Linked DNA regions of Lonchura striata. The protein of the gene in region 1 interacts with the protein of each later gene in a biochemical or structural test. Links are inferred from orthologs where the notes say so. Each region holds a gene or a part of one and is shown on either strand. Other genes may lie near its edges.

Region 1 (7,699 bases):
TCTATATAGCAATATTAAAGCTATGACAGATGCCAGAAAAAGAAAAAAATAAATATGTATGTAGTGATATGTGCATTAATTTACCTTCCTTTGTAGACTACAGCTCCCTTTTGTAAAGTATGCATCTTTCCAAAGTAGAGAGAAAAAGGAATCCTGTCTGTAGCCTGCCCTCTCACACCAGTCAGTGTTGGTGTTTGGGTCTGGAGGGTGTTTGCTTCCCCTCCAGCATCAGCATCAATCAGCTTCCTTGGAGATCTCCAGCACCAGCAGATAGTGAGGCAGAGCACTAACCCGAAAGCCTGCAGATGCACTGTCTGTATATGGGTCAGGATCTATGGGATAAATGAATTGTCTGGCTCTTAATATCCAGGATTTTTACCTGGAAATGTAGCAGTGTTATTTTTGTGCTTTAGAGTTGTTAACCCTGTTTGTGCATATGGCAAGGGGGTGGGTTTCTCACTTAGCTACTGAATTTCTTGCTTTGACCAGCTCACCTAACAGCTGCCTTTGCACTTTGATATTAAAAGACTGTGGCCACTGTAAGAACCCATTCCCTGAGTCCCTGTCAAAGACAACTAAGCCTCTATGCATCTGCCATACCTGCTTTGTGGCAGTCTTATCACACCCCAGCCTTACAGTTCCTTAGGGACTAATTGGATAATAAACATGCTGAACCCAAGCTCTGGAGGCTCTGTGTAAACTGATACACCAGGCTGGGAAATGCCACCACAGGAAAAGGTCAGTCTTCCTGTTTGCTCCCATATGAAGCAAAGGGCCACATTCAACAGAGACATTTCCCAGGAAGCAGAGCTGCCCCAAGCTGTTGCAGATGTCTGCTGTGAGGTACGTGAGCCAGAGTCTTTAGGTTGCAGAAGCAGAAAATTTGCTTTGTCTCAACAGCTTTGTTATAGGAAAAGGAAAGTGAAAAGGAATAAGGAAGAAAGTACTACACATCTAAGTTGTGGAGAAAGCAGATTCATGCCTTAAAGACTTAAGGAGAACAACTTAAAGTTACTGAAAGAAATCTGAGCACAAATTTTAAAATTGCATAGAAGAGAAATCATCCTTCTATTCACTGTGTTCAATTAGCAGACTATTCAGGAAAGAAGGAAATTGAGGTAAAAGCAGAAGTTGCAATGTCAAACCAATCTTACTGCTTGGGATCAATTGCAGAGCTTAGTGGGGTTAACTATTAGATGAAGAATGTCAGACTGACCTGTATGTTGAGGATACTGTGCTTGACACTATCTGGCAGACACATGCCAGCTCCCACACATGGTAGCACTAAGTTTAGTAAGTTGGTTGAGATTTGTAGTACAAAGTATGTGAATGTTGAGATTAATGCAAGTTCAGTTAAAGTTGAAAGAAAACTAATGGGCTTATTAAATTCTCATTAATACTAAAATTGAAGACTTCTGCTCAGATAAATTCATTATTGAGAAAAGCACTAAAAATGTACCAATCATTTTGTCCATTTCAAGAGAATCTTTCCTTCTCCTCTATCAGAATTAAGACATTTCTCTGTAAATTCAGTTTGCATTTCTGGATCAGTTTATTTTCCCTATTCATTTAATGAATTAATGTCAAAACTGGCAACACCAACCTCCAAGCACATACAAATAAATGACAAATAAACCTCTTTCTTTGCATAGTGATTGTTGGCAAATCACCACTGAATGAGACTGACAAGTTTTTAACCAAGCAATTCTAATAAATTCAGCTATCTCTCTTCCCATCTTTAGACCACACCTTTGGCCCCATACCCAATGCAAAGCTAAACAGCAGAAAAAGCAAACCAGACAAACCAACTGACCATAAAAAGGGGAAAAAAAACCCTTAGAAGTCAAATGTAATCCAAAGTTTTCTGTGATGCTTGGGCTTGCAGAAGACAAAAACTGAATAATTGGCCCACCAGAGATGGTGGCCAATTATAACATATTTCATGTCTATATTTGCATTTGCTTTATTTACCTGACAAATGTCCCAGACTCTCTGGACTGCAGGTTCAATAAAGCTCTCCTTGTGATACCTCACAGTGTGGATGGACATAAAATTGCAGCATTTAAACTACAGTGAGCTCAGTGTGACAAGTCAGCATTTGGTCCTGAGTCTCCTCTTTACAGTAAGTGTGATCAGCCCTTACATCAGGAGCTGTCGGAGCATTAAACTCCAGTTTTGTCTGAATACCAGCTAATCCAGCATGGGTGGAAAACAGGAATGTGCTGGTCCTGCATCAATTCTTCTCATTCCACTGTCAACTTCCGTTTTTCTTTTTTTTCTTTTTGCAAAATCCTAGAAAGAAGTTGTTTATTCAGTTTGCCCATCATAGGGCAGTTTCATAATCAGAGAGAAAAGTTCTCCTTGAAAGTGATCACCAAGGCTGTGCTATCTCTCCAAACCCAGGGTCGCCCGCATCGTTCCGTGTCCCACCTGTCTTTCCCATGCGACACCTTCCAGAAAGCCAGAAGGGAGGAGCCCCTGCTCCCAGCAGCCTTGTGTGGGCCAACACAAGGCACAAAGCAGACAGTGCCATCCCTGGAAGAGCAGATAAGGGTAGATGGATGGTTTAGGAGCTCCTATATTGCATTGCTGACCATCAAAGGAAAAAATTTAAAACATAGTTGTGGGCTGATGCTGCCCTACCACGTTGATATGCTGCTGCTCTTCTGTCACTACCACTTGAAAGTATCATAGGGAATGCAACAGTTCTCGAGAGTGGGAAAGATCATGGTAAAGACATTAGACACTCGTTATCACCAAACTTTTCAAAGAGGAATGGCAGTGGGAAGGCCCTTCTGTAAAGAAGCTGTATTAACTACATACCTGACATCCAGAAGAGGCTGAACTACATGATTTACAGTGACTCTTTTGGTTACGTATTCCTGCAACTGTCCCTAGGGCTGTCATCTGTGTTAGTAACTCTGTTGACAAACAAACTCCTGCCTCGGGCCTTCCTGAACACAAAAAAATGCCCACATATCCAGCACTAAATATTCCATAGACAAAGGTATTTCCAACGCCTTGAAGTCCCACCCTGCTCTCAGAATCAATAGCATCAGCAGGTTTTCAAGGCTCATAATGCCCAGAGAGCTCAGGCAGTGACAGGATCATGGTGTGGCACTGATCGGACTGCCCAGATAGCTTGGCAGGTGACAGAGTTACTGTGTGGCACTGATCACAGCCCCCAAACAGATGGACCAGCATCAATGTGTGGCATCAACCCTAGTGCCCAGAGAGGTGAAGCAGAAACAGGGCTACATTGTGGCAGTGATTGAAGTGTCTAGGGAGCACAGGAATCTACAAAGTTGATTCTTGGGAATTATCATAGCGCCCAGAGATCTCAGGCAGTGACAAAGACATGATGTGGCATGGATCATAGCGCACAGAGATCTCGGGCAGTGACAGATTCTCTTGCGGCACCAATCAGGGTGCCTAGAGAGCTGAGGAAGAGACAAAGTCACTTGTTGGCAATTATCATAGTGCCCAGAGAGCTGAGGCAATGATGGAGCCACCGTGTGACACCGATCACAATTTTCAGAGAGCTCAGACAGGGACATATTCTCTGCTGGCACTGATTGTAGTTCCTGGAAGACTGGAGCAGTGCCAGAGTCAAGACATAGCACAGATCAGAGTGCCCAGAGCTAAGGCAGTGACAGAGTCATATTGTGGCATTGACGGGATCGCCCAGATAGATCAACAGGTGACAGAGTTACGGTGTGGCACCTATTGCAATCCCCAAAGAGATGGAGCAGCAGCAGTATCAAGATGTGACACTGATCGTAGTCCCCAGAGAGCTGTAGAAGCAACAAAGTCACTTGGCAATTATCGTAGTGCCCATAGAGCTGAGGCAGTGGCAGAACCATTGTGTGGCACCGACTGCAGTGCCCAGAAAGCTTAGGCAGGGACAGATTCTCTGCCAGCACTGATCGCAGTGCCCGGAGGGCTGGAGCAGTGACAGAATCACGGTGTAGCACGGATCAGAGTGCCCAGAGAGCTCAACAGGTAATAGAGCCACTGTGTGGCACGGATTGGAGTGCCCAAGCATCTCGAGCAATGACAGTCACCATGCAGCAGTGATCGCAATGCTCAGAAAGCTCAGACAGTGAGAGAGCCATGGTGTGGCACCGATTGGGCTGCCCAGATAGCTCAACAGGTGACAAGAGTTATGGTGTGGCACCCATCGCAGCTCCCAAAGAGATGGAGCAGCGGCAGAGTCAAGATGCGACGCTGTTTATAGTGCCCTGAAGGTTGAGGCAGTGACAGGGCCACAGGGTAGGAGCAACTGGTGTGCTCAGACAGCTCAGGAATCCACGAAGTCACTTCTTGGGAAAAATATAGTGTCCTCACAGAGCTGAGGCAGGGATAGAGCCTGTGCGCCACCAATTGCAGTGCCCAGAGAGCCCGGGCAGGAACAGATTCTGTGGCGGCACCGCTCGCATTTCCTAGAGCACTAAAGCGCTTAATGCAGTCAGTGGGCGGCACCCGCGCCGCTTCGAGCCTTCCGAGCCGCCTCCTTCGCTCCGCCTCCTCCGGGACCGAGGCATAATTGAAGGGGCGCTGGGGCGAACCCCATTGCCAGCGGCCCCCGGAGAAGCGGCAGGACTCTCAGAGGCCAGAGCACGGTAAGGCAGGAGCGCGGAGCGGGGGCAGCGCAGTGTCCAGAGAGCTCAGGCAGGGACAAAGTCACGTTGTGGCACCGATCGCACTGCCCAGAGAGTTCGAGCAGCGACACAGACACACGGTGGCTGACGGAGTCAGGCTATGCCACCGATCAGTTTGCACAGAGAGCTCGAGCTAGTGCCACAGTCATCGTGTGCCACCGATCACTGTGCACAGACAGGTCGACAGACGACAGAGGTACCGTGTGGCACAGATGGCAGTGCCCAGACAGCTCGGCAGGTGACAGAGGCAGGGTGTTGCAGCGATCGTACTTACCGGAGAGCTCGACAGGTGACAGTCACGGCGTGGCAATGATCGTAATACATAGAGAGCTCAGGCCGTGACACATTCTCTTGTGGCACCGATCGCAGTGCTCAGAGCTCAGGCACTGAAAGATTCTCTGCAGACACCGATCGTAGTGCCCGGAGGGCCGGAGCAGCGACAGAGTCACGGTGTAGCACGGCTCGGAGTGCCCAGAGAGCTGAGGCAGCGATAGAACCATCGTGTGGCACCGACCGCATTGCTCAGCGAGCTCAGGCAGGGACAAAGCCAAGGTGTGGCTCGTGGATCGTAGCGCCCAGAGATCTCAGGCAGTGAGAGATTTTTCTGGCGGCACCGATCAGGGTGCCCACAGAGCTGAGGAAGCGACACAGTCACTTCTAGGCAAGTATGGTAGTGCCCAGAGAGGCGAGGCAGCGATAGAGCCGCCGTGTGGCGCCGGTCGCAGAGAGCTCGGGCACTTTAAGGAGTCACTGGGCGGCACCCGCGCCGCTTCGAGCCTTCCGAGCCGCCTCCTTCGCTCCGCGTCATCCTGCTCCGGGACCGAGGCATAATTTAAGGGGCGCTGGGGGCGAGCCCCATTGCCAGCGGCCCCCGGAGAAGCGGCAGGACTCTCAGAGGCCAGAGCACGGTAAGGCAGGAACTCCGGAGAGGGGGCAGCTGGACGAGGCCGCGCTGCTGCACCGAAACCGAAACCACGGTGGCGACCCCGCGAGCGAGGGTGCGAAGGGGGGTGACGTTCCGAGGTGAGATGGCCGGCGGCGGTGTTAGCGCCCCGTCCCATCCCGCAGCGCTGCGGAGGGGCTCCTGGGCACGGCGAGCGGGAAGCGCTGGGCGAGGGCGCGGTACGTAGAGAGGAGGCGGCCGCGGCGGCAGGAAGCCGGCGGGAGGAGAAGGGCGATAAGGCAGATGGGCCGACGAGGAACTAGGCCAGAGCAGCCCCGCGTTAGCGCGTCCCGGCTGCCGCCCAGCAGGCGCTTTTGGCCGCGCGAGTGGCAGCGCCCGCGGCGCCCGTCTCCGACAGCTACGGCCCGGCGCCGCAGCCGAGACAGCCTTTCCCGATCCCCATATGGAATGCACACTTTTGTGTCCAGAACCGACTGCAACACCTTTGCACGGGTACTGGCTACTGCACAGATCCCATCCTTTCCTCTTCCCACGCTGCCTCTGCTCCTGTGAAAATTTGTGTTGCATAACACCTTTGTTTCCCTTGTATTGGCTTCTCCTCCCTTTCCCACGGGTTCCTGTGTAACTTGTTGACGATCTGACACAGGTATTGTCTTTGCTATTTCCAAGAGGAAAAAAAAGTGGGGGGGAAATCATTCCTTAGTGAAAAGATGCATCAGCTGAAAAATCTGAGCAGAAGGGAAAGGTTTAGATGGAGTGGGTTATGACATTTACAGCAACAGATCTGAGATACCCTGTTTTGAAACATCATTGACAGAGGCAATATTTTTGTTATCAGCTATAGCAACCCTTCTATTTGTCTCCTGTTGGTCATTTGGGAATACCAACTTTGGCTTCTGTTCTTTATTCCGTTCCATTACTGACTAATAACTCAGTGGCCGCTGAGTTTTGCTGCTTGTAAAGGTGCTAATTTTCTCCAATTAAAGTTTAACACCTCTTAGAAACTTAGGTGCTGGAAGCATCATTAAACTACAAAGGTTCCATGTTTTTTCATATTACTGTGCTAATGTGCTCAGTGCTCCTCCTTAACCAGGCAGGCAGGTCACATCATTACAGATTAGAATTTGCATCAGATCAGATGCAGTTAAAACTGAGCAAAGCACTTTTGAACAGTGATTAGGAATATGACATGATGACCTAATGTCCAGGTTATGATTCTTGTGAATTTATATGCCCTTTAGGCATTAGAGGAGAGGACATAACCATGGTGTTAAAAAGAAAAATGCCACAAACCCATTTAGCACAGTTCTATCCTCTTCTGAAGAACACCAGTCATATTGTTGGACATAACTTCCTCTCTTCTAGCAAATGGTATTCAAAATTTTCATAACACATGTTGGTACTTGGTAAATATGAACCCAACCGAATACAAATGTTCAAATAGTATACAGGAAGAACTGCTTTAAAATTAATCAAGTATACAGATGACAGCTACTTCACAGAACATAAATTAACCACTAGAAGTATGCATACCTTTTGTAAGGGCTGGCTAAATTAAACTACAAAATTTTTATTATCTTAACCACAGATACATAATGCATTAATTGGTGTGTCCTTAGTATTGAGAATACGTATCAATTACCCTGTATTTCAAAGAAGGTTGGGGTGACCCTGAGTCTTTGAGCTTCCATCCTTGTTTTTTTATAATTTGACATTTCAAGCTATCATAAGCCAATATCTCATGTTAAATAGAATAAGTAGTCTTTGCTTTAAAGCCTGGCTAGACATTGTTTTCCTGTGATACTCATTCTTTGAAAAGTTCCCCAAAACACTGGGTTTGAAATAAGTAATTAGATAGAGAGCTTCTATTCAGAGTACCTCATTACTTAATAAGAACACCAAAAAAAAGCAGTAGCATTTTTCCATGCGCAAGGGGGAAGGTTCCCTCCCATCTAATAAAAAAACTTCCCTCTTCTTGAATGTTACACAGCTCACTTCAACAGACATTACAATTTTAAGTTATTATTTCTTTTGAATTTCCAAGACTTTTGGTCATAGTGACTGCATGTAGCTTGATTGGAAGCAACAGGTAATTAACATTGTAAATAGGAACAAGGTTCTGCATTTGTTGCAG
Region 2 (8,124 bases), about 44 Mb from region 1:
AATGTGAGGCTTGATCTGCGTCATCACTCACATTTAGAGACTCACTTATCAAGTGGGATGCCAACTGAGCCCTTGAGACATGAGCAAATGTCTATACTTATCACCAACAGCCCTTTTTCCACAAGCTCTTGCCACATGATGTCATAGCACTGGTTGCATCTCTAATGCCTGGTGCACCCATACAGTGAATAAAATTTTAATATATGCAGAAGCTGAACAACAAATTGTGAGGCAAAGATCTCTGAGACATAGCCCTTGTTTTAAGCAACATTTTCACACCTCAGTGTAAATTTGGATATAGTTTTCCTCCTTTTAATGTTAACATTTAGGGTGAAATACACTAGGTGCTTTAGTTAATACTAACACTTAGGCCATCACAAAGCAGGTGGCATCAGGAGTAGAAAAAAGACACTGGGAACGGGAAAGGGCAGAATTGGTTCTTTTGGCAGTTCTGTTGCCTTGTGACATCTTTATAGATTCACTGACCATACCCCAAAAATGTTACCTGTAAATGGTAATTTAATGAAAGAAATTATATGATGATATGATATGATATGATATGATATGATATGATATGATGATGTGGTGTGATATGATATGATTGATATGATGATATGATTGATATGATATGATATGATACGATATATATGATAATCTGGAGGCAACAGAGGATGAAATTGATGTTTTGTTCAGTATGTTCCTTCTAGTTGAAGTGTATAGGCATTTCTTCCCTGTATTGGAAGATTCTTGACATATTTTTCTATTTTCTAATAATTTACAAATTTTTTTCCTTGGTATACCACTTCAGATTATTAATATAAATTCAACATTTCATCTCCCAGCTACATACAAAAAGTTATTAATTCATGAAATACTTCAGTCAGAAATATATTTATCTGAAGGGCTGTTATGTCAGCACAAACAAAAACAAAACAAAAAAAAAATGGAAAGGCTAATTCAGTGTAATTCTCTACATAATTTTAACCAACTTCTTTCTTCACTAGCAAATGTTCCTGGTGATGTAATTAATTTGTTTCTTCTATGTCAATCATGTATCTACTACACATTAAAGTTAAAATTAGTTCTACTCTCATGCATTTCATTTTACGTCAGTGAATACCACTGTTGTTCCACAGCTGTTTTTGTGATTGTGGTTTGCCTTCTAAACAATCTAAACTATTCCTGGAATGTGCAGGGTAACCAGTGATAACAGTAATGTCAAGAGAAACTTTAACCACGGGAGATGTTTATACTTTATTACTGCAGAGATTGTTTTGAGATCTATTCTGTAAGAGCAAAGAACTTTACATTACCCTGTAATGAGTGAATCAGAAGCTCAGGAATATTACTCTGTGGAAAACAGTGAAGGGTATGTCCGTAGTGTGTTCTCCTCACTTTCCAAACACCTCTAGTGCTCGTGTGCCCATGACCTATGGGGAAAAGTGGACAGAAGTTGGAAATACAGGAGTTTTCTGGAAGTAACCGATACATGGGTTGTGTTTTAGCTGGGTCATATTAAAGGAAAATTTAGTTTTTTGTTGGAATTAACAGCAGTGCTACATGTAGCTGAAAGAAATGTTAAAGATCAATATTCTGGTAGTAAAAGGTACCAAAGTCAGAACCATGTGCCCCTGGCTTTTATAGAGACCTATTGCATTAAAGGCATTCAGATATTTTTTTGAAATTTCTATTTCACCAGAATTGTACTCATAGCACTTGATCATTCCCGGTCCTGCACCTGATGGTGGTGGATGTCCTTCCATGCAGGTGTTCAAGGCCAGGTTTTGAACAACCTGGTCTAGCAGAATGTGACCAGGAGCTAGATGATCTTTGAGATTCCTTCCAATCCAGGCCATTCTGTGATTACTCCCTGGTGTAGACCATGGTTTAGGATGTTATTGTTAAAACCTGTCAGATATCTAAGAAAATTACCTTTAGGAAGTGCTGATTCCTGGTAACTCCTAGTATGAGAGTTGAAAGCTAACCATGAGATGCTTGTGTGGCAGAGGCTCAATGGGATTTTTGTCACTGGTCATCCAGAGAGACTGGATTCCCCTCTGGCCAAGAATGTGTGACTAATTCTGGCTGCTCAGTTATGAAAAATGTTGATTGCATTACATTGTCAGTACTTAATAACAACACAGGTAAAACACACCAAGGTGAGCTTCTCTTTCCATTTACTTCACACAGGACATAATAAAGATATCAAAAGTAGTATACTATTAACATCAAGGCAGTGGTTACAATGTTTGTTTTTCTCTCTGTTACCTAGCAACAGATCTTGTTTGTATTTTAAGGTTATTAGTAAGCTTATTATGTGCATTTTAACTGAAAATTTAGGAAAGACATTATGTCTGCTTATAAGCAAAAATTGAAAAAAAGAAAATCTATCTGCTACCATTACAAAAACCTGCTGGCATATTTAGCATGTATTTCAGGATATTCTTTGGATTTCTATTCAGATAAACAAGTTTTCTTACCCAGAATCTTCTACATTAGAGCATCAGAATACTAGTACAAGGGTAATTTGGGCATAAAAAAAACTATTTCTCTCCTCAAATGAAGCACCACAAACTTCAAGTCATACCTCACTGTAACCAACAATCAGAATTAAGCAGCTGCCCACCCACTAATGTACCACTGTTCCAAATAACCTATGGTTTTGGAGAGGCAGAACAGTCATTAGCAGGAGTTTCTATATCCTAGAAGAAAGAAATTTGCAGTACTGAGCATTCAAAATGCAGCACTTGCTCCTGCTAGAAGTGCTCTTAGTCTGCTGCATCCATTTACTGTTCTGTAAGAGAAAGAGCTGCCTCTCCCTCCCCTCTCTCTGTTACCAGACTATTGAAGACTTTAAACCACCACCCTGTACTCAGCTCTGACATTTACTAGCAGACAGAACATTCACTAAACCAAACTACAGATAGCTTTTCTGAAAAAAAAAAAAAATGTAGCAAAAAACTGGCAGCATTGATATACATTTTACATCTTGATAAATGACCAAACACACAATGAAGAGCAACTGGCATGTTTTAAACCCACTTGGAAGGGGCAATTTCCAGTAGTTTTACATTAAATCTCCTATCAGTATATATATCAGCATATACATGTGAACTTGGAATATAGACATTGCCAAGTTTTGACTAAGAAATAAAACTAGACAAGAATCTTTCCTTTGCTCCAAGCCTCCATTTCAAGAAGGAAAGATTTCAATTTACTGCTATTTGGTCAATATATATTCCCCTCTAAGTAATGATTAGTCCAGAAATAAAGACTCACTGACTGGGCTCACAAACTATATTTAAAACAAAGTTCTGAACATTCTGAAATACAAGAGTCACCCTGTAATTTCAGAGCAGTTGTAATATCTTATCCCACTCTAACAGGCTGCCAGAAATGCTCCTGGATAAGGCCCATCACCATTTGTTCTAAAGATATCAACTTTTTGGCTGGCTCTGTCAGGTAACTGAGGACATTTGAACTTTGATTCATTATCAGATATACTTCTTACATTTCAGCTTTGAAGGCAAAAATTTTGGATATGTATTTAATCTGTAAAATTTTACAAAAAAGTTCTCAATATTGAATGCAATAAACTGCTGTGTCTTATCCATAACAAAAAAGATAAATATGAAAACATTTCCCATAAATATCCACATAACTTTGTATGAAGGATTTGAGCATTTTTTCTCCAATATGCAATTTAGCTGAGTGAGTCATAATATGTTTTCCATGTAAAGAGAATGAAATTCCATATTGTGTTACTGGTTGCCCTGGAATTAACTGCAGAGACCGAGGATAGGAAGTATATCCCTAAACATTGATACAAAATACAACCAAAGCTCCAAAGAAAATGATTTTGGATATTGCAGTATATTGCAACTGATCTTCTTATTCTGCCTTTTTAATTAATGGAATTAAATGGAACGAGGAAAAGAAACTTTTCAGAATATCCAAATAAAGGTTTTTTTTTTGTTGTTGTTTATTTGTTTTTAGAGTTGTACAATCTGTTTGGATTACTAAAACTTTCCTGAAGATACATGAGGCTGTGAGATGGAATCCAGAACTGTTTTTAAGTTATCACTTTGAACTTACATATGTCAATACCTTTTTTCCCATTTTGTTAGGAATGACTGTCTGTATTAGCATGTGATCATAGTGCAAACTGGTGTTTCTTGGTCAGCATGCCAGTCAGAACGCAGTCAAAATGGAGAGCGTACAGATGTCATCATTGTCCCTGGACAAAGGCTTTATGACTTTTTTTATACCGCAGCTAAGGCTAGAAGACATGGCTTAATTTTAAAGTGCTACTACCGGCGTTAATAAAACAATTATCAATGTTCTTGATGAGACCCATGTTCCAGAGCGTGTGTCTCCTGTTAACATGTGCCGGTTTATACCACGCACCTTTGCATGCATGTACTGCATTTCCCAGGGTGAGACTGCAGGTGGGCAAACAGCAGCCAGCGCCCAGAGCTGTCCCAGACGGAATGGATGCAATGACTTCTGTCCGTGCCCGCCCCGCAGAGCAGGAGCCGTGACACCGAGCACACGTAGGCCGGGGCAGGGCGGCGCTCGCTGACGTGCGGGCAGCCCCGCCTCCCTCCGCGCTCCCGCAGCTTCCAGAAGGGCCGGAGCCGCGGGGGGGCCGCGCCGGTGGCGCAGTCGGAATTGCTGCGGCCGCGGGGCCCGGCCGGGGCGGGGCGGGCGGTGATGCCCTTGTTTATTTTTACTCGGGCGGTTCATCCTCCTCGGCAGCCCCAGCGCGGCCCCCGCCGCCGCTCCCCGCCCCGGCTGCGACGGCGGCGCCGCCTATAAAGCGCCGCCCGCGGGGAGCCGAGGATGCAGCTCTACAGCTCCGTGATCACCCACTACCCGGCGGCCGCCACCGCAGCAGCCGCCGCGGCCTCGCCGAGCTCCGCCGCCGTCTTCAAGGTCTCCTTGTCGCCGGGACCCTCCGCCGCGGAGGCACCGAGCGCCGCCGACGCCGCGGGCCCGAACGCGGTCGCTGAGAGCTCCGGCAAGGAGAGCTTCGTTCCCGCGGGGGGCAGCAGCAGCGCCGCCGCCATGCCCGCCTTCTCGTCCTGCCTGGAGGTGATGCCGAGCGGCCCCGCGGCGGGGCCGGCCGGGCGGCCGGCGGGCGGCCCGCAGTTCAGCTCCTGCGCGCAGGTCACCGTCAGCCGCCGGCGGCCGCTGGAGCGGATCGTGCCCATCCGCATCGTGCAGCGCGCCGAGGCCGCCGCGGAGCTGGTGCCGGGCTCGCCGCGCAGCCGCGCCTGGCTGGAGGGCATCCTGGAGAGCGTGCGGCAGGCCGGGGGCGACGGCGAGGCGGCGGAGGAGCCCAGCAACCGCAGCCTGCGGCTCAGCGAGCACTGCCAGGCGCTGCAGGCGGCGGCCGCCGGCGCCCAGCCCGGGCTGGTTCCCGGCTGCGGCCCCGCGGAGCGGAGCGGCGGCCCCGCGCACGCCGAGCAGGAGGAGGCGGCGGGGCCCGACGTGCGGCGGGCGCCCGGCGGCAGAGCGGAGCGCAGCGAGAAGCTGGCGCTGTACCTGGCCGAGGTGGAGAAGCAGGACAAGTACCTGCGGCAGAAGGGCCGGTTCCGCTTCCACATCATCCCCGACGGGAACTGCCTGTACCGCGCCGTCTGCAAGGCGGTGTACGGGGACCAGCGGCTGCACGGCGAGCTCCGCGAGCAGACCGTGCACTACATCGCCGACCACCTGGACCACTTCAACCCCATCATCGAGGGCGACGTGGGAGAGTTCCTCATCGCCGCCGCGCAGGACGGGGCCTGGGCCGGCTACCCGGAGCTGCTGGCCATGGGGCAGATGCTGAACGTGAACATCCACCTGACCACGGGCGGCCGGCCCGAGAGCCCCACCGTTTCCACCATGGTTCACTACCTGGGGCCCGAGGACCCGACGCGGCCCAGTATCTGGCTGAGCTGGCTTAGCAATGGGCACTACGATGCTGTGCTGGACCGCGTGTGCCCCAACCCAGAGTACGAGGCGTGGTGCAGACAGACTCAGGTACAGCGCAGGCGGGACGAGGAGCTGGCCAAGTCCATGGCGGTGTCCTTGTCCAAGATGTACATTGAGCAGAATGCCTGCTCATGAGACCGCCTGGGCCGGGAGCTTCGCTGCAGGGACTGACAGAGAGGTGTGCTCGCTGTGATGGTGATGCCTTAATCCTTAATGAAGCAGCAGCACCCCAGACGGACAAAGACTGTAGGTTGCGGGGGGATAAATACAGACGTAGTTGTAATATTCTGTTGTAAAAACTTAGCCTCGGGTTATTTGCAAGCAGATTTCTCCGTGTATGTTTGTGTCTCCCCTCCCCACTGTCTGTTTTCTATGAGAATGTATTTTTTGCACACTATTTTTAAACTGTTACCTCCATCTTCTACATCTTGCATTAGTATCTGGCTTTCAGCTGTACAGCCAAAAACGTTTGTAAACAGTTTTTGTAAATAAGGCTTATGATGTAACAGCTATTTTTTGCTGTGTTTTTTACCCATAAACTTTATATTTTTACCAAATGAAGTTGATGTCAAACTGACCCCCCTAGTTGATGAAAATGTGTTTTTAAAAGTGCGGCAAAATGAGAACAGACTGCTTTTAGGAACAATTGCTTTCTCTGCCTGGAGCACAGAATAGGTCCTTTGAGCCAGTTGGAATGCAGCTACACGTGAACAGTGCAGGGAGCAATTGACTCTTCTGTTTTTAATTACTGTTTTGAGTAGACTGGCCTCTTGTTGCCTGGTTGGCTCACTCTCTGCTCCACTTACATTATTTATCTATAATAACAGAACATTAACTTGCAATAGAATGTTGTGACTAGATAATAGTCTCCTGCTTTGGCAGTAATTGCCGTGGCTGCACCTCAGTGTTTGTGTTCTTGTTTCTGGGGCTATGGTGTCTTTCGTATAAGCCCTGCTTCTTTTTTGGCACTGGTGTTTCACCAACAAGTCATTATCTGATCACAACATTTTATTCACGTGACTTTATTTTCTAATCAAGAAATCAGGAATGGTATTCTACATTATGGTTTAAAAGAAAAAAAATACTTAAATTGAGGTTTGTATGGTTTGCTGGGTCAAACATTTAAATGTCTCCAATCTGGATTCTGTCTCTTCTACTTTCTGATTAACTTGTTAGATATATTTATTAAGTAATGCAGTTTGTACTTTTTTATTTTGTAATATATTGTGATTTCGGAATTTATACTGTATTTGTATAATAGGAATATTCACAGCTAAAATGGAATGAATAAAGAATATAATTTTACTTGTGCTCTTCTTTTCTGCCCTGTGCATTCCTGGTGTGGGGAAGAATTGCGGGTGGGTTCACAGGATCTTTTATAGCTTCTCTGCCTTAGTCTCTCCTACTGAGAGGTGGGAAGAAGGGGTGTGGTACTTTACAGATGTAAACCACTGATAATTCTGGTGTCTGTTAATATGTGAAAGAAATGCAGGCATTTAAAGACAATTAAATATCTAATTATTTTCTTACTGCAAGAGATCTTAGTATATGTGTTTGCTAGTGAGAAACCATTTCCTATATTAATATGCCTTAGAAGGGGAATTCTCAGGCATAGTTTGTGAGCTCGTGGTGCCAGGGTTGGTGGTGAGCCAGCTCTGCTGGCCTGTGCACACGTGGGCTTGGACATTGGTCTTTGGGAACCTCCATTCTGCAGTTAGCCCCAAACTTGCTCGAGGTTTGTCCTGTCAGTAGTGATACCTTGGCACCCTCTTGTTACTCAAACACAGTAATGTTACAGGGAGGTACAGCTTTCTACTCCCCTTGCAAGATGGAAATGCCTTCCAGGTTGTTTAAACATGTTTAGAAAAGTGCACGTGTGTTTACAAATCAGTCCCTGATCTCAAAATGGTAAAACGTCTTCATCCTTAAACAACAGAAGGGTACTAAAGTTATGATTAAAAAGTAACTAAATAGCTGAAATGCATCAGTCTTAGTTGAGCACCTGTGATAGATCTGCGGGACTGATGTATATAATTATTACTGGTTTATGTGGTACAAAGAGTAGATTTAAATATTATGTTATTTTCAAAGCATTGGTAAATAGAATATTTTTATTTAATAGAGTATGTAAACAGTGGTGGAAAA
Region 3 (8,189 bases), on another chromosome or scaffold:
ATACCTAAAGTTAGAATAGCTGATCATCTCATCAGATAGGAATATAGAAAGGAAAATAACAGTAGTCCCTGCTTGATTTCACATGAGGCATTATCTTTAGCTATTTATTTGTTAACCACTTGCTGACTCATGAATGCTGAAGTGATGGCTGAAGCAAACAGCTCCAGAAGCAGACTCTGCTTTAGAGTCCCCTCCCATGATGTGGGCTGACATTTTGGCAGCACACCAGTCATGCCAACCTAAAGATCAAGTTAAAAGCTGCAATGATTGGGCTTGTACTACCTAAACCCAGCCACTGCACTATGCATTAAGGCAGTTTTGGAAAGCAAAGACATCCCTGTGCAGTGCTATCTATGCAGTGCTTTATGCTTACAACCCTCAACCTAAATCAAAGACTATTGTGACAGTAGTAGTTCACAGTTAAATGAAGTCTGCTACACATGGATGGTGACTCTCTGGAAGCAGAGACCACACTGCATGGTAAATAACCATGTGTCTAGGTGTTAAAGTACAGGAAACACAACACAAATAAACAATCTATTCTAAAGAGTCTGTAGTCAAAGTTAAATATGCATGATAACAGAAAAGTGTGAGAAAAGAAACATTCACAAACTTACCATACCACTCAGAAACTGAGGTACCAGAATGTAAGCCACAAGAAATCCCACAAGAAACTGTGACAAAGCACAGGATGGAAAAGTATTGGGAACAATCCAGCCTATTTCCATGCTCTTTCCTGGACAGTTTCTCAACCTCTGTGAGAAACAAGGCAGTGAGGTCAATGGACCTTTGATTTGGCTTACTACTGCTGTACATATTCAGTTTAGCCACATGTCTAGTCTGAGTCTGCATCAAAATCTACTGAAATCACTTTGCTCTCCAAAACAGAAATAATATTGGTCTTCCTCTTATTTCTTGCTGGCGCCTTGTTGGAATTGTCTGTACTGTGCACTGAAGAGGGTCAGTAACGCTGGACTGTGCTGCTGTCTCTAATGCAACTATACATAGCTATGTCTGCAGTTTTTAGGGGCCCTGAGAGTTGCTGCAGTATCTACAGATATCAGAGGAATAAAAAACAAGTTACAAAGATCATAATCGCTTAAACTTTTTTATGCACTTCACAGACAACATTGCTGAAACTTATTTACAGACCAGGAGGTAAGTATACGGTGTGGTTAATGCCATACTTAATCCCCTTACAGGTAAAAAAACCTGTTCTTAAAAATGTCTAGTGCTTGCCTCCATAGCTCATTTTTCACAGTGCTTCACCAGCCTTAATGGGGGAATACCACGCTTACAGCTTAACCTTCAGGTTAACAAAAGGGGCTAAGGCAAGATTTGAACTTTCAGCTTCTTTGAACCCACTGCAGTTCCAGACCTTTACTTCTGACACTTCTCTCACAAATATTAAAAAGAAGGGGAAAATAAGCACACACACAACAAAAAGGGAAAAAAAAAAAAAAAAAGCAAAGGAAGCTTTGGCCCCCTGGGCCATAAATAAGAATCCCTAGTTCCAGTACAGTCACTTGCCAGAATACCCTGGTAAACCTCTTCTCTGGAATCTGTAGTTTCTTTTACTGGATTCAGATGAGTGTAATGGAAAAAATCCCAAAACCAGTTCAGCTCTTGCTATCTAAGTGGCAGACATGATTTGGGGTTTTTTGGTTCTGTTTGTTTGTTTTTTTTACCGTCAATACTTGATTCAGTAATAAGCACCATCTTTCTGTCTGATAAATGTTTAGGGGATATTCCCCCCTCTCTTTCCTTTGCACTGACAAGCTCTTATCACTTTTCCACCAGGAAAAGAAGCAACGGAACAGCTCCTGGAAGACAGAAGTGCTGAACTCAAGCATGACCTCAAGCACTGCTCTTGCATTAAAAGGGATTTCCCTTTAATGATCCTTTTCCTCCCTTCTAGATGAATCACACCTCATACAGAATTATCTGATATTAAAAGACACAGCAAATGATTGAATTATTAAAAGTCTGTATGTCACTATGCATAAATATTACTATAGTCATCATCCTAGCATTGAATATTATATGAGTACTATCTTAACTATGAGTCTTTCTTAGTGCAGCCTCTCAAACATTTGGCAATGGTGTTCTGAACACTCTGAGGTCTTGGTTTAATTTAGTGAGTGGGAACTACTCCTTCCTGAACAGTAAAAAGAAGCAAAGTAATTAAAATAATTTAGAGATATAGAGCTGAATGGGGCCTTGAGAGATTTCTTTTTTTTCCCAAGTACAATAAAGAATTGTTATTGATTTATGTGCATGAAACTGATTACTTAAATTTTCACAAAAAATGGATATTCTGCAATTCCCAGTGACAGCTTTCTCCAGGGTTATGTAAACATTACCACTTACAAGGGTGGACTGTTTCACCCTTATGCTTAACCAGAATGTAGATAGCTGAAAATGAAAGTATTTCTTATTCTGTCCTTAATACCAAGAACTTCCCTCTTCCCTCAAGAGAAACAGACATGCATATATACCTAAAAATATATGTGCATATGTACATAGTTATGTGTATGTATATGTGCGTATTTACATACGCACTTTAAAGAAGAAAATTTTCCTTGACTTTATACATCTGTCTCTATGTTTATATCTAATGAAAGATAAACATTTTACTATAAATTATGAGATAAACTATAGGGTACAGCTACAAAAAAAACAAAACCCAGGAGTCATTCAGAAAAGAGGAATGTATATTCATGCATTCTATAACTACTGATGTTGCTGATGTTTCTAATGTATTCCTATATTGCTGAGGAGTTATGGTTGACAAGACAGAACTTTATTTTGTGCTGTGCAAACTCAGATCAAATGAATTCCTGCCATCCTGCTCAGACCTGTTTGATAAACATCTGCTCTAGCAATGTGCAATCAACTTTGAGTTTATCAAGGTGTAAACAGTAATTATTAATATTCAGACACGCTTACCATTTAGAAACCAAAAATAAGCTGTTGCCTTTTCAGGTTTTCCTGAGTCTCAGCATCTCCATCATGGCTAGGTCTACTTGTTAATTTATTTGCTGCAGCTTCCTATACAAAGCAGGGTACAACTCAGCTCTTTTTTCCCTACTCCCTACCTTAGCTCATCATTCCTACTCAACAGTGAAGCCCTCCATCATTTGAAGTACTCTCTGTAAAACTCTGTCGGGGGCTGGGCTTCATATTATGTGAGAGAAATGTTTTGATAGAAACATTTTTTTTTTCCTCTAATCAGATGACTTCAGTAATCTGCTACCTCAGTCCCAATGAGAGAGCAGGGGAAAATGTCCAGGAGAAGGGAACCGGTAAGATGCTGACAGAAATATATACTGTATAAATCACAGCAGGGATGCTGCCCTAGTTATGCAAGCCCAGTTCCCTCAGGCATCCAGTTCCCTGGATTTTAGCCACCCTTCAGGTTATCAATCATTAAATGTGGAGCCTTCCTACCCAACTATACTTTCCAAGACAATAGAGAGGCTAGGGGAACAAAAAGAAAAAATAACACACCCACAAAAACCTTTAAAAGAAAATTATCCGAGGAGAGGAGGAAAAGAAACCTGGAAGGGATTATTCTTTTCCTGGCCATATCCCTGACTTCTTTTTGAACAAAGGCAGAGGAGAAGGATGGGCTGCTGTGCAGAGCCAGCACAGGCCTGTAAACCCTGGGAAAGATCATGTTGCCACATAAGCCTGTTGTGTGACATGAGCAAATGATCTGAGCCAGCTGCTGCTACTGGGAGTGAGGTGAAGGAGTTCAAAGCTGAACTCTTCCAAAATCCACCTGTTCTCTGAGGAGTCTATATTTAACACCTGATTTCAAGGTGTGCAGCAACCCTGGCTTCTCATCTTGCCACTGGGAGAGGTGGATACTCAGGAACAGGCAAGAGCTCATTATCTGGGAAGATGAAGTGTTTTAATCCTGCAAGAAACTGTATTTCATTTCTGTGTGCCTTCAGATTGTAAGGCTGTTGAGCTAGAAACTGCCCCTTTTCCAGCATACATCCCATCCATAAATCATATTAACAGGCCTTAAATATGGGGGGTTTGTTTAGTGAGGTTTTTTCACTGCTAATATTTCACAATATTAGCACATTGTTTAAAGGTGTGCATTGTTTACAATAATTAATTTTAATGATTCCTATAAATTACTAGTTGCAGTCAAGAAATTACAATCATATTCAGACACTTAAGATCTCCCCAACTTGATAGTTTTAGCCCACGGTTCTGGTCTTTACCTGCAACAATCTGACCTTGAGCAGGGCCAAATTAAAACACAATTAACATCTCCTGCCGAAAATACCAGCAGATTGGGACTATGGGGTTCTATATCGGCCTAACCTCTAATTGAAGAAATGAAGTCACTTGTGGTTACGTACAATACAGAGCCAAAACGGTGGAGCACATACAAGCTAAAAAAAAAAAAAAAACACCCACAAAAAAAAAATTGCTTGGGTCTGAAAACCGTCTGGAAGAACAATACTTTCCATGGGACGGGCCCCCTTAACGTGCTGCTGGAATGCTGGGGCAGGGATGCGGGCAGCTACACCCGAGCACCCGCACCCCACAGCTCCGTCCGTGCTGGGGCAGGCGCTGCCACGCGTGCCCGTGAGCGGAAGGGCTGCGGGGCACCGCCGGGGCGCCGCTCTGCGCGGCGACAAGGAGCTGTTCGGACCCAGCGACGCGACACCGGGCCGGCCCGTGAGCGGAGCGAAGCCTGCGGGACGGGATGGGCAAGCCCCTGCCCGGGAGGAAAGGAAAAAGGAAGGAAGACACGGCATCCCGGCTCCCGAAAATCCCGGGGGTGAGTCACGGCGGGCGGGGAGGCGCCGGGACTGCCCGGCGGCGGCGCCCCCTGGCGGCGGCGGCCGCGGGTGTTGTCACAGGCCGGAAAGTCCCTGTGCTCTGCCGGTGGAAATCCCCGGTGGGGGTTTTTTGTGTTGTGTTTTCAATCTGCTTGCCTTTTTTTTTTTTTTTTTTTCACCCAGGCGCTTAAACAGAAAGGGAAAAAAACAAGAGGCTGGGCTCAGCCCTTCATTCCGCAGCGGCGGCAGCGGCAGCAGCAGCTCCGGCGGGAAGAGGGTGGAGAGAAGGGCAAGAAGGAGCTCCGGCGCGGTGGGGATTGATGGATTCCGGGCGCGGCTGCGTCCCACCGCCTCAGCCTCGCTGCTGAGAGGAGTCGCGGCAGGATCGGCCGGAGGAGGAGCCGTCCGCGGAGAGGTGAGCGCCGCTCTGGGCAGGGCACGGCGGAGCCCGGAGCGCTTCTGCAGGAGGGCGCCTCGGGGACCAGGCGGGTCCGGCGCGGGCGGGGACGCTGTGCCCGCCGTGCCCGGCCCGGCGCGCAGAGCGGGCACGGCGCGGCCGAGCGTGCTGCGGTGCCGCGGGGAAATCCGCCCCGGAGCTCCGGGCTCCTTCTCCTGGGAGCTGCACCGTGTCGTGGCCGTGCCGCCTTGCACGCCCAGCCCCCAGCGGAGTTGTAGGTCAGGGAACCAAGAACGCGGAACACTTACTGCGTGTAAACCAGTGCTGTGGGATCTTTAAAAGAGCCTCGCTCCTCGCCTTCCGATTTGGCAAAGAGTAGTACTGTGTTTTGGTTTGTGCCGAGCAAAGGCACAGGCACTTGTAGCACTTTATGGAGAAGTTTATTACTTGCCGTTTTTCAGATAGAGGACAGAAAATGAAAATAATTTATGAAACCATCGGCAGATCTCAGAACAGTATTCCTCTTTCCAGAGCCCAGCATCCTCAGCATTACACCTTTGGAAAGGATGCTGTCTCTAATTATTGTTTACAGCTGTTCCTTTCTGGGAATTCCTAGTCATTACTTGTGAGAAGGTTAAAGTAGCATAGCACACAGCAAAGCACAGTAGACTATAAACTAATAAAACTGTAGGTTAGTTTTTTACTTTTAAATCTCCAGCTTAGATGTCAGTTGAATTCTGTTTGTTTCATCACATTGATTTTGAAAATAAGTGTTGCTTGGCTTTTGCCTTTGTTCACATTTATTACTGTAAATAGCACAGGCAGTAATTTCCACGTGTGGAGGGGAAAAAATGCTAGTAGAACATAGTATCGAATAATGTAGTTTCAGTGACTGCTTCTGTAAACTCAGTGTTTTTTGTTACTTAATGCTGGAAATAACCATTTCAAGAGGTGATGCCGGTAGTGCTTAGTCATGTGATTAGTCTTTATTAGTGTAAAAAAAATCCCATTGACTCAATATTTCTACTAACATAAGTAAGGAATTCAATATTTTAGTCGTCTCAGAGCAAAGTAGAGCTGGGTTATTACACAGTTTAGTAAGGAGTTGTTTATATTTCCTTTTTAGACACATTCATACATTTAAATACAGGATTACATAAATAGCATGTGTAAAACTATATTTATGAGGAAAGTGGATGAGAAAATACACAATTTTCATTTTAAGGCTGTGTGCTGATGGGGGAATGATAAGAATATGCCATCTTTATTCCCTAAAGAAAAGCTTTTCCATATGTTGCAAGATGTGACAGCTCTGCACACGGTCCCTAGTGTTCGTAGGGCATGTGAATGACATCACCCTAAAGTTGGGCTTTGTAGCATCACCTGTTTCATCTGCCTCTAGAGCTTGTCGTGTTATCCTGTATCTCTCCAGCAGCTGGTTCTCAGAGAGGTTATAGAGCTCAGCTCTTGGCACCTGGAGTTTGAGGTCCCCTCTCACCCTGAGAGGGTCTTTTCAAAAGCTTTGGCTGGGCATTTGGAGGTGGATGTTGCCAATGGAGGTGTCTGGGTGAAGAGGAGAGAGCAGTTGTTTACCTGTGGGGAAGGAGGTCCTGAAGCCCTTCTGTGCAAGAGGGGTCTTCTGCCTCCATAGACGTGGGAATGCCTTCCTGGTCAGTCTTGTCAGGCTTCTTCCTCTCTCCGTGACTCCAGTCTCCATGAGAAAACGTCCTAATAGTGGCATAAACAATTTTTGGTTGTTTCTTGTATCCCTGTACTTGATGTCCAGAGATTGATACACATATATATGACTTGATACTTGTCCTTAGATTCATAATCACAGTGGCGGATTCTCTTAATATGACTAGTTGTACTCTAAATATTTTAAGCATGCATACTTTTATTTGTCTTGACACAAACTTTGCTTTGCTTTTAAACAAAGCAAGAATGTTTGTGGACAGCATGGAGAGTCTCTCCCTGTAAAAACAGGTTATTGTTGTTATTTTTGTTCTTACTGTAGTGGACAGGGGTTTTGAGGGATGTGGTCTGTACGTTTGGCTCTAACTAGCCACAAAGTTAGTGTCCTCAAGTAAGGATTTCTTTGAGTGTAGCAAGTTTGAGATGTTATGGGTTTCTTTTTTTGTTTTTCCTGCTATACCCCATGAGGCCAGAGTTACTGAAGAAAGGGATGCAGAGCAGCAAACATTACATGTCCTACTGTGGAAATATATAGGGGGTTTTGAGCCAAATGGAAATGCTCTGTTGACTTACCACTGAGTAATAGTGGCACTGCACCCCCACACACCAGCATAAGCACTTCTGAGCCATAGCTCTACCACTTACAAAATAAAAAGAGCCTCAAGAAAAGTAACCTAAGCCTGTCCTCGAGTGACAAATTCCTCATCTACCATATCTGGCCACTGTAAGTATGAGACTGATACTAGCACAGCCTGCAATTATTTGTGCTTTTTCTGTACTCTACTGACCATCACTACTCAGAATGTATGAGCTGTAGAATCTGAAATGGTCTTTAACTGCTTTTTTTTTTTTTTGGCATGTTATCAAAACAAGAGCTTGAAATGTCCTGAAATTTAGCAAGTGCATATGGGATTACAGTGTACAATTATCAATTAGTTAAGTTTCCAGGATAATTTTCCCTTCCTTCAATCTTGTCTTCTCTTATCCTTATTTTTATTTAATTGCTTTTTTTGAATGATGATGCAATTTCCTTAGTTATGCATAAATCCTCTTCAATATCACAGTAAATTATATCAGCAAATTAGTGGGATAAGCTGATCAGTGTCTGTATCTGAATAATGCAGAAAAGTTAGTGAATATGAGCTTTAAAAAAAAAAGTTATTTATGAAAGGCTGCATCCACTCTATACTTGTTTTAGGCAAAACTTCATCAAGCATCCCACCCTGAAAGTGCCTTCTCAGTCACTGCACAAATGATAGCACAGTGATAGAAGGGCACTAACATGCCAATAA
Region 4 (8,142 bases), on another chromosome or scaffold:
GAATTTTCTTTGTTCTCATATTAATAAAATGGTGCTTTACATTTAAAAATCATTTAGTAAGTCTGGAATAAATAATAAATAATAAGAGGCTTGCAGTATTTCATCCGTCTCCTCAAAGAGTCTTTAAATTAAACTTAAAAATAGAGAACTACATTAATTCATATGTTTAAAGGACTACAAATTCTGAGAAATACTGAGTCATGTTTTGCAAGTATTAATTACACTTTTTTTTTTTAATTCACTGGATTTTTTAAATGAAATGTATACAAAAGTTTTGCAGTGGATGCCTGCTTCCTTTTTATAATTATTTATCATTAAACTTTTTGCTAGAGATTATTTGTATCATAGTAAAAAGCACTAAGAATTCATTGCAGTACTGCTAATAAATACTTATTTTTATTATGGAAACAAATGTAAATGTATAGACACTACAGAGTCAGTTTAAACCCTATGTTTTAAGATGCTTTAGAACTTTCTGTGTTATATTTTACCCACGTGCTGGACGTGCCTTTTAATAAAATACTACTTTCAAGGAAGTTCATGACGTGTCACCTATATTTTATAGTAATTCCTCTCTTTGATCTGCATTGAATTTAAAGTCTTTATTATTTAAATGAATGAAAGTTACAGAGTATCAGAACAATTGCACAGCAGCCCAAGGGCCAATCCCTTTCAGTGATGTGCTTCAGTCCTGCCTGTCATCTTTTTTTAGGAAGGATAAGGAATCATTTTTCGAGTAGCAAAAGCCACCTGAAGAGCTTCTCAAGAGCACCCCTTCCCATCTGAGCATCTAGTGCCCTCATATCCTGCCAGCATCCAGCACAGCATGCCTAAGATTTGGTCTACAGTTTGGGGAAACTTTCTATACCAAACCCTTCCCTTCCTTGGCATCAGCCAGGTTTTCAGTGACTGGCACAGGAGATTTGGATGTTAGCATTACAGAGGCCCACGGCTGCAAAGGGGAGTGCAATGGGGACCAGGGGAAGGAGGAAGAGAAGAGGGGGGAAGGGAAGGGGTTACTGCCTGGGATAGCAGTGGACAGCAATGGTTTGCAAGACCCTCATCTGGCCTTCAGGCCACCTAGTTTGGCTCACCCTAACTTACATTTTAACACTGTTTTTGAGATGCATGACTTACAGAAATGTTCACTGCACTCTTTCATAAAACTGACAGGCAAGCATACAAGATGTATTTCTCTTTTCCCTTAATTTCTGAGGTTTTGTGAGAGATTTAACCAATTAGATGTGCTTTTAATAAACAAATCTAGAGGCTCCTATTTTTTCTCTTGTCCCTAAAGCTGGAATGCTGTCCTGCAAACAATTGAAAACAGCACAATCCTAATACATTAAATCTGCTTGTGCCAGTTTTAAGAACACATTTGGCCTCGTTATCAGCATAAAACAAACTAGTCTGTAGAAAACAAATTACACACATGCTTAGATACAGCTTGACTCTAATTAGCATAAAGGATCCTCTCAAAAGCATTTAAAAAATCTCATTATTCTGGTACAGTTTCTAAAAAGGTTTGTGACTTTTAAGTGAGCTTTTAAAAGGTGCATAATAAATGTAAAAATCTGGCTTAACTTACATGTAAAATGAATAGCATTGCCAGAAGAGATACTGCTTAGCTTGGCTCCCAAAGATTTGGACTTGTGACCCTGAATTCAGCAGTCCTTAAAAGTGTGGCCTGATGAGCACCGATGGCCCCTCAATCTGCAGAACCAGACAGCACAAGCTTTTAAGACTAAAAGTCTGAGGATACTGATGCGGAAGATTGACTATAGTCCATTGATCATTGTATTCTAGGAAATAGTTCTTTAATCTACATGGTTAGCTTTGAGATTTGAGCAGTTAGTGGGGCATTGAATTGACACCAAACTGGCTAAAATATATATATATGTATTTATTTGTCCTTAAAACTGAAGTAGAACCAAACCATGTCTCTGAAGTTTTGTTGAACTTGGACCAGAAGTGGAAGACCTTTAGTGAGGGTTGAACCCAAAATGGACTGAAACAAAGAATTTAAGGACTTCTCTCCTTGGATTTAAAGTATTAACTCTTTGTGTCTTTATCCTGTACCTGTACTATATAATCAAAAGCTGTCTGTGTTGCTAAAGATGAACCCAAAACACAGTAGCATATTTAGTTTCCACTAAATAAATTTGCAGCACTAGTTATTAACTAGTGGGGGGAAAAGGAAGGGCCAGATTTTCCCTTAATGAGATTTGGACCTCTGGTGCTGTCCTCTTCCTTCCTAGGCTTATCTCTTTCCTTTCACTGCTTTCCTTCTTTCTATCTTTGTTCAGACTGCAAGCAAATACATGACTAAATGCTGACTGTATAACTGCTGTAATTTCCTTGAATGAAATCTGGAGTCGCTCTATGCATATCCATATGTTTTGCTAACTTTCTAAGACATTCTTGGATAGTATAAATTTAAAAAATCAAATTGCCTCATCTGGCAAAAGGATATAGTAAATAAAGTGATGTAACTGCTTGTCCTAATTTTCTATTTTAAAATGCAGCCACATTATCTGCAATTAAAAGCAGCTGTCAGGATTGCAATGATGAGATTTTCTGAAGCCTCCAAGTTTGGTCACTCCAATTCCAGATATAATACAGACCCTTAGATCATGACAGAAAGAAAGAAAAGGAAGTAAAGAAAAGAAAGGAAAGAAAGGAAGAAAAAGGAAGAAAGGAAGGAAGAGAGAGAAAACCAGCAGCACTGACAATCAGAAGTACAAGAAGCTGGGACAGGAAACTCTCAGTAGCTATGCAGTGCTCTGTTGAGGAACAATCATACAGGCAGTTTGTGGTGTCTCTGCTCCCTGGAGCTGTGCTGTACTGTTTGCAAACGTATCTCCTCACAACTAGTATTACAAACGTTGTGGCAAGAAAATTTAACACCACCTCAGTTGTACTTTGGCTACAACAGCAGCATACTTCTTGGAGTTACTGATGATGATGACTTACTTGTGTGGCTTCCAGTGTTGTCAAATATGTTAATGCATTGCTCTGAAACAACCCAGAGGAGTATTTAGATTTTTTTATATCTTCATTCCTAGAAGACTAACATGTGCCTGAGACAAAAAAAATATTTACCTTGGTTTACCAGCTGTATTGTAAGAAGATATTATTTATCAATTATTCACAAGCAATTTAACCCCCTGTATCCAATTTATTACTTATATATAATTATAGATAAAAGTGTTATGTCATGAAACCAAAACACTGCTTTAAAACTGCCAAATAAGTAGCATCCCTGCAGAAGCTGGCCACATGATATATGTATCTATATTTTTAAAACATTTCTTAAAACCAGCATACAAACTTTGCCTTTAAGGCTGATTTACATTCTGTGTCCACATAAATTTTCAACTGTCAGCCACAGGAAAATCAAAGGAAAAGGAATTAAGATTCCTGAGTGTGACTGCCTATCTTTATGCAAAATCTTGTAGATAAATATAATGTTAAGCATAGGCAGAATGTGAACTCTACTCTTGGTTACATTTTTCCATGGCAAGTACAGTACAGTACAGTTTCCTGGGTACAGTATCTAGGAAAGGCATGTAAAGGTTTCCACAACTAGCTTCCAACTACCCTTAAATATTTCAAATACCCTTAAATTTGTACAATTAGTCTAAACAGAGTGTACAAATGGGGTTCACAAGGTGACGACGTTTCTAGCAGCAGCTGCAGCAACCACTTTTCCTGCTTTTCCAGAGGGTAGGTATTAGCACGCTGTGCAGACCACAGCCAGCTTGCTGTGCCTGCCTGCAGCTTCAAAGGTAGTACGTTCCAGCACTGGAAGATCTTTTTTTTCCCCTTTCATCACTATTGCGGTCCCGACATGAAAGAAAAAGGGCTGACACCATCAATCCCGTGTGACACCTGACACCTATGCAAAGACGGAAAAAAGTTATTTCATGATGTGTGAGTGAAAGTGACACCACCTCATTTTTACAGCTCTGTGAATCACACTCTTCTCCTCTCTACCATATTTCGTTTCCAGGTATCCATATAAAAATAAGTGAATAATACACTATTCACTAGTAGAGGAATAAAACAACAGAATGTCCATAGCATTGTGGTAGACACAGGCCAGCTCTTAATTTAATAAATTATTTTCATCTATTAAAAGATTCTTCATTTTTAAGCTGTTCAGATGAAAGTAATGAAGCTAAATGTGTCCATTATTCGATATAATACTGCTCTGTGTTTGATACGACGATGCCAGCACCAGGATGAAGTTCAGCTTAGCGCATACTCACAGATAGCAACCAGTGTACCTAGGGAGTAATGAGATCAGCTGTTTCTAATATCATTAAAACTGCAATTTCGTAATTCCGAATTTAATTTTGGATACAACCCCTCTCCTCACTAAACACCCCCACCACCACCCTGACTCCTGATAGCGCAGCAGGTCCTCCGAATTCCTGGAAAGGCACCTCCTTGGCGGAGTCACCTCCCGTCCCCGCCCCGGCCCCGGCCGCGGCAAGGAGCAGCGGCGGCAGCGCCGGGCCCCTTCCAGCGCTCGGTCCCGGCCCCCGCGGCTGGCACTGCGGCCGCTCGGCCCCGGCCCCGGCCCCCGCGGCTGGCACTGCGGCCGCTCGGCCCCGGTCCCGGCCCCGGTCCCGGCCCCCGCGGCTAGCACTGCGGCCGCTCGGCCCCGGTCCCGGTCCCGGCCCCGGTCCCGGCCCCCGCGGCTAGCACTGCGGCCGCTCGGCCCCGGTCCCGGCCCCGGCCCCGGTCCCGGCCCCCGCGGCTAGCACTGCGGCCGCTCGGCCCCGGTCCCGGCCCCGGTCCCGGTCCCGGCCCCCGCGGCTGGCACTGCGGCCGCTCGGCCCCGGTCCCGGTCCCGGCCCCCGCGGCTGGCACGGCGGGCGCGGCCCCTCCCGCGCTCCGGCCGGCAGCGGCCGCCCCTCCTCGGCCGGCCCGCAGCAGGGCGGCGGCGGCGGCTTCCGGCGGCGCCCTGCTGCCTTCAACAAAGATGGTGCTTCCCGCGCAAGCTCCGCGGGCGCCGGCGCCTCCCGGGTAGCCTCCCGCTCCCCTCGGGTGAGTACGGGCGGGGCGGCGGGCGCTCCCCGCACGCAGCTCGCTTGCCCGGGCGCTGCCGACGGCTGCCCTCGGCAGCGCCTGGGGCGGGAGGGCCGGGGGAAGCGGGAGAGCGGTGCCGCGGGGCCGTTCGGCGGCGCCCCCGGCGCTGCGGGGCCGGGGCGGGGGCCGGGCTTCCGCGGGGAGGCCGGGCCGGGCCGGCGGGGCCGCCTCCGCGCAGCCCTGCCCGGCGGGAGGCCGGGACGGGAGGAAGGCCGGGCGCTGCTGCTGCCTGCGGGGCTCGGGCCGCGGTGCGGGCAGCTGGCCCCTGGCTGCTGCTACCCGAGCAGCAGCTGCCGGCGCTCGGCAGAGAAGACTTTAAAAGCAAAACTTGCCTTTTTTTTTTTTTTTTTTTTTTTAAATTTCCTGGCGGGGTGGGGGGGATGTGTAAGATTTTTGACCTGTAGGCTTGCTGTGAGTAGCCAGAATAATTCATGGGGTAGTCAGGTGAGTGCAGTTGGTGTTCTGGAAAACAATGAAATGTTTCTAGCGGAAAAACTTAAGTGAATTTGCCTTTTTAGTGTCAGCAGGGGTTCTTATAAAAAGTTTTATCCCCATTTATGTACAGTCACTCTGTCAGATCCAGAAAAAGGCAAACTTGATTGTGTTGATGTGGTGATGAGTCAAGGACTGCTCATTCAGCAGGTCATGGGCTATATTTCTTAAAATTTGGCTTTATAATGGAAAAAAATCCATTTTCAGAAGTATCTAGGGAATGTTTGAGTCATCTTTTGCGTAAATGGACATCTCATAGTTTTCATTTTCTGTAAAATTACTTGACTAAATTTAATTCAGAGCTTACTTTGAATCCGTAGATACAGACGGTGATTTAAATGAATTTGTTACTTCTGTGTTGCACTAAACTCTGTCCCAACACTGTTACACATCAAAATCCTGATATATTTCCATATCTAGCTGCTTAGTTCCTAAGTCAGACATTTGCTTATCATCGTAAACACATACAAATACTTTATCTTTAAAAAGACCTCAGAAACCGGTATGCCCCATCCTGGAAGTTTACCAGGCTGATGCAAGGACTTTAAACCCTCTGTTGTACACACTCTGCAGTCAGCAAGGCAAAGGGCTTTTGCAGCAGAAATTCCCCCTTCTGATCCCTGGCTGATAGGCATTTCTCAGTGCCCAAAGGTGCAAACCTTTGGTTTGTAAGATTTATTTTTGAAAAATGTTGGCTGCTTTGGTTGTGAAGAAGAGGAACTCATCAAGTTCTGTACAGTCATCCAGCATATGAGGAGGCTCCTGAATGGGGACTCTCAGGGCCCATTCAGAATATGCAACACAAAAATTTTTTAGTATGTGAAACAGTTTTCTGCCTGGGTTGAGATGACACCCTCAGAGGTGCTGCTGGATGCCTTTCTTGAACTCTGCAAGTGCTTCATGAGCTCAAGGGTGTTCTCCTAGAAAGAAGAAGTGGTAGGATTTACTGCCTGAATTTTGCTGTAGTCCAGAGATTGCTTTCTACAGTGTAAAGGTACTATGTGTTAGAGACCAGAATCTTCAGCTTCAGTGGGAAAAGCCATTTCTCTTTCTTGCCTGCTCTTTTTCCATCTCCTTGCTTGCACTACTGTCTCAGTCCATGATGGTGTTTGATGTTTGAACTGTGCTGGGTAAACTGGCATTTCTTAGGGACATAGCATAGGCATTACAGTGTTTGATTCCCACATGATCCCTAGACAGAAGGTAAGAACTAGAAATTCACTATAGTAGGTGAGAAATGCACTGGATAGCCTGGGAAGGATGGAGTCCTCCAGGAAGATACTTTCCAGCAGTGCTTTTAGCACTTGATGGAAGCATTTTTGGAAAGTAGCTTTGTCAGAGGATATCACAGACAGGGTTTTCCAGTGTCTCTCATGACACTGTGCTCTTGCATTCTGTCCAAGGTGGCATTTACATGCCAGTATGTTCTGTTAGTCACCCTCCTTGATTTTAACAACCAGGCCAACCACACAGTCTTTGATGGGGCTCTGGGAGTCAGCAGGCATCTCTGATGGCAAAAAGACTTCATCAAGTTTCATGTAAAAGCTTTGAGAATTCTGTCTCTTCTTGTACCCTCAAGCTGAATGAAGTAGAGTTTTTGCAAAGTTTAGCGGTTCAAACAGCAGTGCCTAATTTAATTGTGAGAAACCCTCTTGGTAATCACACTCAACACCTGCTGCTATTTTTTGACTTTATTATTTAGTAATGAGAAAGTATTTAATTGTGTTGTCCTGTCATTTTCAAGTGCCATTAAATGGGCTCAGGGATACGTTTGTTGTTAAGAACTAGACTAGACACTTTGATTTGGTTTGAAGGTCTGGCATGGACTGCTGACTTGATCTTGGATGAGCTGCTTGATCTCTCTGGACCCTGATTATTCTTTCATAGAGTGGCTATAAAATGCATCTTGAGCTTTTGTTTAGTCAGAGTGTTAGTCAAGTGAAATGGAAGCTGGCAGAGGGCATCTGATCCCTTCCTGTGAGCACATAAGAAGAGAGGGAGAAAAGCTATTTAAGCTAAAGAACAGTTTTGGCAGAAGATATGCCTATAAATAGAAAGGGATAAATCTGAGATGGAAATTCAAAGAAAGTTTCTTCTCATCAGAGCAGTTGAGTTCTAGAGCAATCTTCCCGGATGATTCAAGGGTGAGAACGACGTGGTACATAAGATACTTTTCTACCCCTCTTAAACTTGAACTGCATCATGTAGGCCAAAGCTACCTGCTGATTCTGTCCCTGCTGCTGCTGTTGCTTCTGCCTGGCTGAGATGAATGTACCTGTCCTGCTGCTGCTTTTGTAATTCTAGCAGTGGTCAGGTGTAACATCTCTTTAATTTTGGGGGATTGTGTCTCTTAAGGACTGGCAAGTGCTTTTGCTGCCTTTAGTATGGATCTTAACCAGTTAATAGGAGGATTATTTGGCACGGGTTTCACTCCAGCAGAGGACTGGTCTTTGCAATGCCAAATGTTCTATTCCTGTCCAGTATTTCCCAGAAATTGCATCATTTTACCTTGTGAGACAGTGAAATCTGAATGGAAAGAAGATAATGGAGATC

What was found.
Region 2: of the proteins of RIPK1 (region 1) and OTUD1, one has a biochemical effect on the other in vitro, tested with the Homo sapiens proteins (2 studies listed by BioGRID). The link is inferred for Lonchura striata from reciprocal best matches to the Homo sapiens genes RIPK1 and OTUD1.
Region 3: of the proteins of RIPK1 (region 1) and TNFAIP3, one has a biochemical effect on the other in vitro, tested with the Homo sapiens proteins (2 studies listed by BioGRID). The link is inferred for Lonchura striata from reciprocal best matches to the Homo sapiens genes RIPK1 and TNFAIP3.
Region 4: the proteins of RIPK1 (region 1) and CRADD form a complex in vitro, tested with the Homo sapiens proteins (2 studies listed by BioGRID). The link is inferred for Lonchura striata from reciprocal best matches to the Homo sapiens genes RIPK1 and CRADD.

What each region holds. Positions count from the first base shown.
Region 1 is NC_134603.1:94,905,606-94,913,304, reverse strand, and holds the start of RIPK1 (receptor-interacting serine/threonine-protein kinase 1), read left to right. Parts: upstream 1-4,541; 5' UTR 4,542-4,622; intron 4,623-5,410; exon of another isoform or gene 5,411-7,699. UniProt on the Homo sapiens protein: Serine-threonine kinase which is a key regulator of TNF-mediated apoptosis, necroptosis and inflammatory pathways.
Region 2 is NC_134603.1:139,206,686-139,214,809, forward strand, and holds the start of OTUD1 (OTU domain-containing protein 1), read left to right. Parts: upstream 1-4,831; 5' UTR 4,832-4,842; coding exon 4,843-6,114; 3' UTR 6,115-8,124. UniProt on the Homo sapiens protein: Deubiquitinating enzyme that specifically hydrolyzes 'Lys-63'-linked polyubiquitin to monoubiquitin.
Region 3 is NC_134605.1:51,072,004-51,080,192, forward strand, and holds the start of TNFAIP3 (tumor necrosis factor alpha-induced protein 3), read left to right. Parts: upstream 1-4,865; 5' UTR 4,866-5,220; intron 5,221-8,189. UniProt on the Homo sapiens protein: Ubiquitin-editing enzyme that contains both ubiquitin ligase and deubiquitinase activities.
Region 4 is NC_134607.1:53,676,067-53,684,208, forward strand, and holds the start of CRADD (death domain-containing protein CRADD), read left to right. Parts: upstream 1-4,918; 5' UTR 4,919-5,055; intron 5,056-5,459; exon of another isoform or gene 5,460-5,541; intron 5,542-8,142. UniProt on the Homo sapiens protein: Adapter protein that associates with PIDD1 and the caspase CASP2 to form the PIDDosome, a complex that activates CASP2 and triggers apoptosis.